Linked DNA regions of Canis lupus familiaris. The protein of the gene in region 1 purifies or fractionates together with the protein of each later gene. This does not show direct contact. Links are inferred from orthologs where the notes say so. Each region holds a gene or a part of one and is shown on either strand. Other genes may lie near its edges.

What was found.
Region 2: the proteins of KCNJ4 (region 1) and DLG4 purify together in Homo sapiens (affinity purification with western blotting, with the first as the bait; 3 studies listed by BioGRID). This does not show direct contact. The link is inferred for Canis lupus familiaris from reciprocal best matches to the Homo sapiens genes KCNJ4 and DLG4.

The regions. Positions count from the first base shown.
Region 1 is NC_049231.1:27,320,569-27,324,962, forward strand, and holds the start of KCNJ4 (inward rectifier potassium channel 4), read left to right. Parts: upstream 1-1,378; 5' UTR 1,379-1,592; intron 1,593-2,947; exon of another isoform or gene 2,948-3,004; intron 3,005-4,172; exon of another isoform or gene 4,173-4,355; intron 4,356-4,394. Other genes in the region: uncharacterized protein LOC119876745, read left to right, coding at 429-680. UniProt on the Homo sapiens protein: Inward rectifier potassium channels are characterized by a greater tendency to allow potassium to flow into the cell rather than out of it.
Region 2 is NC_049226.1:32,375,434-32,379,094, forward strand, and holds part of DLG4 (disks large homolog 4), read right to left. Parts: intron 3,052-3,661; coding exon 2,756-3,051; intron 2,639-2,755; coding exon 2,536-2,638; intron 2,396-2,535; coding exon 2,281-2,395; intron 991-2,280; coding exon 814-990; intron 676-813; coding exon 639-675; intron 552-638; coding exon 524-551; intron 397-523; coding exon 349-396; intron 253-348; coding exon 151-252; intron 1-150. UniProt on the Homo sapiens protein: Postsynaptic scaffolding protein that plays a critical role in synaptogenesis and synaptic plasticity by providing a platform for the postsynaptic clustering of crucial synaptic proteins.

The DNA.
Region 1 (4,394 bases):
TGTAGGAATTTGGGCAAACTTTCATCTTTCCCATGGGTAACCTGGGTATAAACCAAATACTGACTTGATAGGAGTCAAAGTTAGCTAGGTACCTAAAGCGCTTTGCAAGGAGTAAACCACTCAACAAATGCCAGTCCCCTGCTCCCCTTTATGGGACACCCAGGCCCAAAGAGGATCCGCAAAGCAGAGCCAGGAGAAAACACATTCTGTGTTCTCAGAAGCCGATCACTCCCTCGCCGGTTTATTCCAGAAGTGCAAAAAAGACAATTAAAAATAACCTCGGGGCCCGAGGAAGCCTTCTGGGGCGTTAGAAGTGTTCTGTATCTTGATCCCAGTGGTGATTACACGGGTTTTTTGCATATGTAAAAATCCATCGAGCTGTGCTCTTAAGATGTATTACAGTTTGTAAGTCACACCTCAATTAAAAGAAAAAGAAAAGCATAACAAACCTTGCGACGCCGCCTCCCTTCGCCGCTGGCGACAGGTGTCTGTCTGAGACGCCAAAGACCCCTCGGCGCTCGCGGGGCAGGCCCGGCCCCCGGGCTCCGAGTCGTGCGCCGCTCCGGGGCCGCCGCGGGGTTCCCACGGCAACCGCAAGCCGCTCTCCGCGTCTCCCGAGTGACGAGGCGTCAGCGAAGACCCGGAGCCCGGATCGCCGAACCGGAGCCACGGAACCAACGGTGCGCGGGAGGTGGGGGGGGCGGTTGGGGAGAGGTGGCTGGAGAGAGACGGTGGCTGGCCGAGGGCAGAGGGGAGCGACGGGTGCCCTTCGTCCTTGCGCTGGCATTCTCGGGGGGGGGGGGGGCATCTGGCACCACCCCCTAGCCCGGTGCCCGCCAACTGCAGGATGAATACACCCCTGGGGTTCACTCTCGGTTTTCCAGGTGGGGAGGTGGACCGCTTGGCTGCTCCCCAATATCACAGAGCGAGCGAATCAGGGGCAAAGGCAAGCCCTGCACCCTGGTGGCCTGCTTTCTAGCTTGTGCGGTCCAGCCGAGTGAAGGGTGCATAGAGCTGGGTGCTGGCACCTCCTTGGGCTCTGGTACCAGCTCTGCCAGTAAGCCGCTGTGCGGTCTTCAAGTCCGTTCTCCTGCCTTTGCCGCAGAGATGGGACAGCACCACCGATATCTCAGGGCAGCTGTTACCAAGTGTGTGAAATAACGGGTGTAAAAGTGGCTTATAAACTGTAAAGTGTTGTGCACCTGTTAAGGACCATCACTGCTGCCACTCTATTGTCTTCTTGTCCTCATCATCATTCTGGCCTCAGCTGCAGGCTTGGTGACAACCAGGTGCCCAGTGAACATGGGGCTCCCAACTCCCCCCATGCCCATGGGTTTGCAGTCTCTAGGGTGAGATTTCCTTCCCGGAACATCCCCTTTCCCAAGCAATGGACCCAGCGTAGCTCTCCCAGGCACCAGGGATCCTTTGGTCCCCAGACCACCTACCGGAGGGATTCACAGAGACGGCAGCCTCCACCACCCTCCTGGACACCGCCTCCTAGTCTGCTACCCTGTAGCTGGATCGCAGAAGTGCCCCCACTAAGTGAGGATGTCTGGAGAGCCCAGGACGTGGCTCCTGCACAGAACCCGATGGTAACACCACTTAATGCTCTTTGAATGCCACATGCTGGGCATGTGTTGTTACAGTTGTGTGTTCGTGTGCTGTGAGACCGTATTTACATTGCGGTGCGTGTGTGGGGGTACATGTGCCAGGCGTGCATGCATACATTGGTATTTGTGTGTGCTTGCGATTCATATTTGAGTATGTGTGTGTAAATGTGTGTATTTATGGCTGCGTGGTATGTGCTTGCAGGTGTGTGTTGTGTATTTGAGGCATATGTATTTACCCGTGCATCTATTTGTGTCTGTGGTGGTGAATATGCATATCAAGGAGGGCATTTGTGGGTCTGTACTTGTGGTGTGCACAAGTGGATGTGTAAAACTGTGAGGTCTGTAATCGTGCATGTGTAGGAGTGTGCTGAGGGTTTCGGGTGGGGGGGGCTCTCTTCCCCCCCATCTCCCCTCATCTGGGTGACCTTCCTCCAGCTGAGGACTGTGCCCAGGCTAGCTCTTGCCCCCTCTGCAGACCTGTGGCTGCTCTGGTCATTGGCTTGCCCCATCTTGGGGCATGTGGGCAGCAGGAGCAAGGGCGGATGGGTGAACCTGGGTCCAGGGCTCACATGCCACCCCCTCCCCTTCTGGCCTCCTCCCCTCCCCACAGCAGGAGCAGCAGCGGGAAAGGTTGGCGGAGGGGGGCTATTTTGGGAGCGTCTCCTTAGCAACAGCTGCCACGGCCGTCTGTGGCGGTTTTTCTATAGGTGCTAAAATATTCCACCCTGGTGACTACTGAGTGCTGGGGGGTGGGCGAGGGGGGGAGTGGAGGGCGGGAGAGACCCCTGCAATCCTCCATTCCCAGGGCATAGCCGCTGGGATGGGTCTTGGCCCTGTGGGCTCCCATTACCCCTTTCCCCACCATCCATCCTCACCCCTCAGGGCTGCTGGGACTTCAGAGTTCTGAGGCTGGCCAGCTGTGTCCTGGTCTGATTCCTAATCTAAGCAGCTGGGCTCCCTCTGTTTGCCCCATCTGTAGAATGGGCTGGCCAGACTTTCAGGAACTCTCTAAGTCCCAAACCCCTGGACTCTGTGACTCTGGCATCTGGAAGTGGCCCCTGGTGGCCCACCTCCCCCACTCCTCTCCCAGCTTGGCTCAGGCCCTCCCACCTGCAGTCCTCCAGGCCTTCTGTGCCTGCTCTCAAGGCCTCTATGGGACCAGGGAGGCCTGACTGGTCTCCTAGAGTGAGCCAGTTCACGAGTGCTCTGCTGGCCTCAAACGACCTCTCCCCAGAAACTAGGAATGGATTCCAAATGTGGCTGAGACATTTGCTTACTCCCTGAGTGACCATGGGCAAGGCACTTCCTCTCTCTGTGTCTCAGGTCGGTTTCCTCACCTGTGAATGAGGGATAGTCCTAGAGGCTCCCTCATGAAGACACTGGGAGGATCATCTCTGAAAATGGAAAATGGGCCAAGAAGCTTTGGCAAAATGTTCAGTTGGATGAACGTTTTACCATCACTACCTATCAAACTTCAGAGCAAGTCTTGCCCTTCCACAGAGTTGTCCCTGGCCATGTACCAACATGGCCCATGCCTCAGTTTCCCCATGGGTAACAAGCGCCTGCATCATAGAGTTCTGGTAAGGATTAAATGAGACAATGCCTGTGCAAGCCTAGAATAGTGCTGGGCTAATGGTATCACCCCCAGGGGCGTCTGCTCCCTTCACTCTTCCCAGGGGGCGCTTTGGTGTTGGATGACCACAAAGCCTACTTGCCTTTTGGGGACCCAGTCCAGACTGTCCCATTACAGATGAGGCTCCTGAGGTCCAGAGAGGATAAGCAACTTGCCCAGGGTCGCCCAGGTTCTGACAGCCAAGCCTCTACCCGCTGCCCCTGTGAGCCCCTGCACACCTGTCTCACATCCCTCCTTGCCTCCACCTCCCCACCCCTGCCCTTCTCAAATATGGGCTGGACAATAGGGAATTCCGCCCCTAAGCTCCCATCATCTCAACTGTGGGGCTATTATCCTATGACACAATAGGCTGTCATACAGATGAGGACACTGAGGCACGGAGACAAGTGAGCTGTCCAGAGTCACATCAGGCTTGGGGCAGAGCGGGGTGGGGGGGGAGGTGAAGGGACTCTTTTTCCTGGGGTCCCTGAACCTCTCTCTGGCTGGAGCTGCCTTTTCTGCCTCTTCCCACCTCCTCCCAGTCACTCCCAGCCTCCACCAGACCCTCCTTGCAGGAGGATCCCAGGCTACAGCCCCAGGAGGAGGGGACCATTACCAAATGTTTCCTCTCAGGCTTATGATGTCACAGCCACCAGGCTTCCCCCTTCCATCTTCCAGAAGTCTCTGTCCCTGAGCTCCTACCTTTCCCTTGAACTTGTGCCCAGTGACCCAGCATCAGGACTGACCCCACAGGAGCAGAGGCTCTAGGTCTACAGACCCCTCAGTCTCCATTCCCCGCCCCCTTTGCCCCTCCCTCCTTGCCCTGCACCCCACATTTCCAGGGCAGCCAGCAGGCAGACCTCTGGCTAGGTGAAGAGACCACGGGTCATTTGCTTCTCCTGCACCCTCCCAATTTCCACGGAAAGTTGTGACAGTGACCAGGCACTTACCTGCCACTGACCGAGGATTCAGATTGCCTAAGTTCATGCGCATCAAAGATTCATGTGAAGGAACACAGTCCTGGCTGCCTGCCTGTGAGGACACCGCAGAGTTAATGAGGGAGACGGGCACGGAATGGGTCATCTGCTATGGGGCTCCCCGCGCGCGGTTGAAGGGAGAAAGGATGGTCATGTTATTGACTGCCTACTGTGGGCTGTGCATTTCTTGTGCAT
Region 2 (3,661 bases), on another chromosome or scaffold:
GGGCTGGCGGTGCCCGTCAGGGCCCCCCTCCTCTGAAGACCCTTGTGTCCTCCTACACCCCAACGCCTGCGGGCCCACTGCCTGAGACCCCCCCCCATGGGCCCCACTGCCACCTCCCTGCCTCCCCCCAGGGGCCCCACCCACACTCACGGGGAACACAGGATCCGAACTTGTCGGGGAACTCGGAGAGAAGGTCATCGTTGGCTCGGTCCTTGGTGGGCCCAAGGATGATGATGGGGCGAGCATAGTGAACTGGGGACAGAAAGCCAGCTCAGGTGGACGGCTGGGCAGAGTGCGGCAGGGGTGCAGCAGGGACAGGGCCGGGGCGCAGCAGGGGCCAGGACTCACCTTCCATCTGAGTCACTGTCTCATAGCTCAGAACGGAGTCTTCTCGACCTAGTGGGAGGCAGGGCGTCTGCGAGGGGCTCGGAGATGGGACTCAGGACCCCCTGCCGCCTTCCTGACGCTATCAAGAGAGACTCAGGGCTCCCTCACCCCGGGGTACCGAGTGGACCCTACCTACCCTGTGATCCAGAGCTGGAGCCCCAATCCTACGGAGAAAGAGCAGACCACGTGGTTGGTGGAGTCCCACCCGCCCCGCCCCTCCCCTCCCCACCAAGCTCACTCCCGGCACCTACCTTGGCCTTTAACCTTGACCACTCCCGTCGTTCAACCCTGTGGGGAACATGGAGGGATAGGCGGGTAGGGAGATGCCGGGCACCCTCCCTCCCAGGAGGTCCTGGGGCTGCCCACCCGGGGACCTCTGGGCCTTGAGTGCCTGTGGCAGGAAGGCTGTGGGCCTGGGAGCCTCACCGCCGTTTGCTGGGGATGAAGCCGATGTCATCCGTCTCACTGTCAGAGTGGACCCGCCGCGCCTGCCACCACTCTTCATCGCTGGCATCGATGACGTGCAGCACGTCCCCAAAGCGGAAGCTCAGGGCCTGGCTCAGGAAGCCGCAGTCCTTGGTCTTGTCGTAATCAAACAGGGCCCTGGGGGGCAGGCAGCCATCCATCAGAGGTGGGTCGAGGCCACCCCTGCGCCCCGCACCCCTAGACCCGCCTGGGGTTCCAGACCAGGGGGCTACAGCCAAGCACAGCGGCTGACAGCCTGCCCACAGGGGCCGCGGACTCCAAGGAACTCAAAACCTGGGAGGACCGAAAGCTCTACTATTGAGGCACACTCAATACAATCTGCCACTCAGTCCACACTGTGTCAGGGACCAGAGCCACTACGGACTCAGTGCAATTCCTAGAGAACAATCTGGAACACCACCCTCCCATGGAAGCAGTGTGCAGCACGCATGCACAGGACAACCAGAGGTAACCCGGAATCGGCACAAGGTCCTAAGAAAGAAAAGGACCACTGTGCTATCCCTGATCAGCCCCACCAGTATCGAATTCCTATCAGCCTACCACGACCCCTGGGGTCAGGCCAGGGGAAGGAAGGACCACTGAGGCAGCCAAGACGCGGAGCACAGCAACAAGGTGAAAGGGGAGGCGCTCTGGGACGGCCTGGAGACACCCGGAAGCCAGAACAGACCAACCGAGGACAGGGCGGCGGCGTGGGGGGGGGGGGGTGGGGGGGCGCACCGGAGCTCAGCAGGCAGGGCAGGGCCAAGCCAGGCCCCCTGGAGGCAGGAGTCTGGGCGGATGGGCGCCAGTTAACGGCACCAGTTAGTGAGGGAGAAAGCTGGAGCAGCAAGACAGAGCTCCAGAACATGGGAGAAAGCAGTGAGCCCCCACTCAGGACACATAGAGCTAAGATGCCTGTGGGACATCCCGGGGGAACGTGCCCAGAAAGCAGATGGCCAGCAGTGCGGGTCTGGGCCTTGGGGAAGAGGTGAGGCGACAGTTCTGAGGACAGCAGCAGAGCCCCGGCAGGGGAGGCTGGGGAGGCAGAAGCCATGGCGCCCACGACACCAGGCACCCCGCTCCCCTGGGCCACCCCCAGGGAGGTGCTCACGCAGGCCACAGTCCACCCAGCCTAGAGGCCCTTGCCCTGCCGGCCAGTGACCTGCATGTCACCAGATTGTGGAGGTCTCAGGGGGAAACGTAGGGGTGACCAAGGGCCAGACGGCAGCAGGGGAACTCAGCCCAGAGGCCCCCTTCCGGCTGATACAGAGTATCTAAGGTCCCTAACCTATGCGGCCGAGCCCATGGCCAGCAGCAGAGCATCAGGCCCAGCTGGTAGTGGGAGGTAGGCAGGGGTGAGGAGAAGATCTGGGGGGCAGCGGCAGGGGGCAGAGAACAAAGTCAAGCCTGGCCCGGAAGCACCCCAACCTGATGTAGAAACCCCTTTTGGGATTGCTCCGCAGGGAGGCGGTTCCTGAGCCGAGGCTACTGTTCATGAGCTGCTCCCGGAGGTCATGGATCTTGGCCTCGAATCGGCTGTACTCTAGAAGGGACCAGAAGGTTCCTGAGCTGCGGCCCTGGCCTTCCTGCCACCCTTACTGGGCCTGGCAGAAGCCACAAGCCAAGGGGCTGGCACCCCGAAGACCAGCTTAGCCGCAGGCTGGGGCGCTTCAGGCCTGGTACCTTCTGGTTTATACTGGGCAATGATGGTGACTGTCTGACCCGCGTTCTTCAAGGCGATGGCAGCCTGCTCGTGGCTGGCACTGCGGAGGTCCACGCCATTCACCTAGAGACAAGGGAGAGGCCAGGTTGTCAGAGCTGGGCCCCAGAGCTCTGCGCTCTGCCCCAGGGGGCGGGGGGGGGGTGCCCAGTGGTGAGGGGGCAGGGGCAGGCCTTCCCTCACCGAGAGGATCTGGTCGCCCTTCCGCAGCTCCCCGCTGAGGTCTGCAGGGCCACCGGCCAGGATAAAGGAGATGAAGATGCCCTCACCGTCCTCGCCACCCACAATGTTGAAACCCAGGCCCGTAGAGCCCCGGTGGATCACGATCCGCCTCGGTTCCCGGGGAATGTCTTCCTCCCCCAGCAGGTCCTTGGCCACCGGGGAGTAACGCCGAGGGGAAGTGGGGGTCATGGCTGTGGGGTAGTCAGTCCCCAGGTAACTGCTGTGACTGATCTCGTTGTCCAGGTGCTGGGAATAAGCTGGAGAGAGGAAGACGTGGGAGAAGGGGTAAGATCGAACTTCGAGAAGGAAAGCACCCACCACCCCACCTTCTCCCTAGGGAACCAGGAGGGAATCAGGAGAGTGGGCTCAGACAGGAGAGTGGGGTGGGTGAAGGGGGCATCACATCCCAGCAATGGTGGGGGGCAGGATTCACAGGCCATATCAGGGGCTGGTTCTCCCAGGGGGTCACCGATTTGAAGGTCACATATCCTCGGTGTGCCTGGGGTGCTCAAGTCAAGGGGAATATGAATATCAGGCTTCAGGACTTTGGGAGTTTTCTTTTGGGTGCTGTTTCTCAAATCTCTTAATCTATAAAATTCCTCCCTCCCTCTTTCTCTCTGTCTCTCTCTCTCTCTTCCTTCTGTTGGCCATCCGTTGGTTGGGAAAACTAGGTCATCTGTCTAACAGAATTTCCCATTTTCTATTAGGCTGATTCTAATGGGGAAATGACTGCTTGCATCTTCGATGGTGTTAACATGTGCCTCTGCTCTGTTTTTCCAGTAAACTGGTAATTCGTTCTGGAGACTTTGTCAGACTCAAGCTCAATTTTTCAGAGGCACAAATACTTCATCGACAACCCAGTAGAAA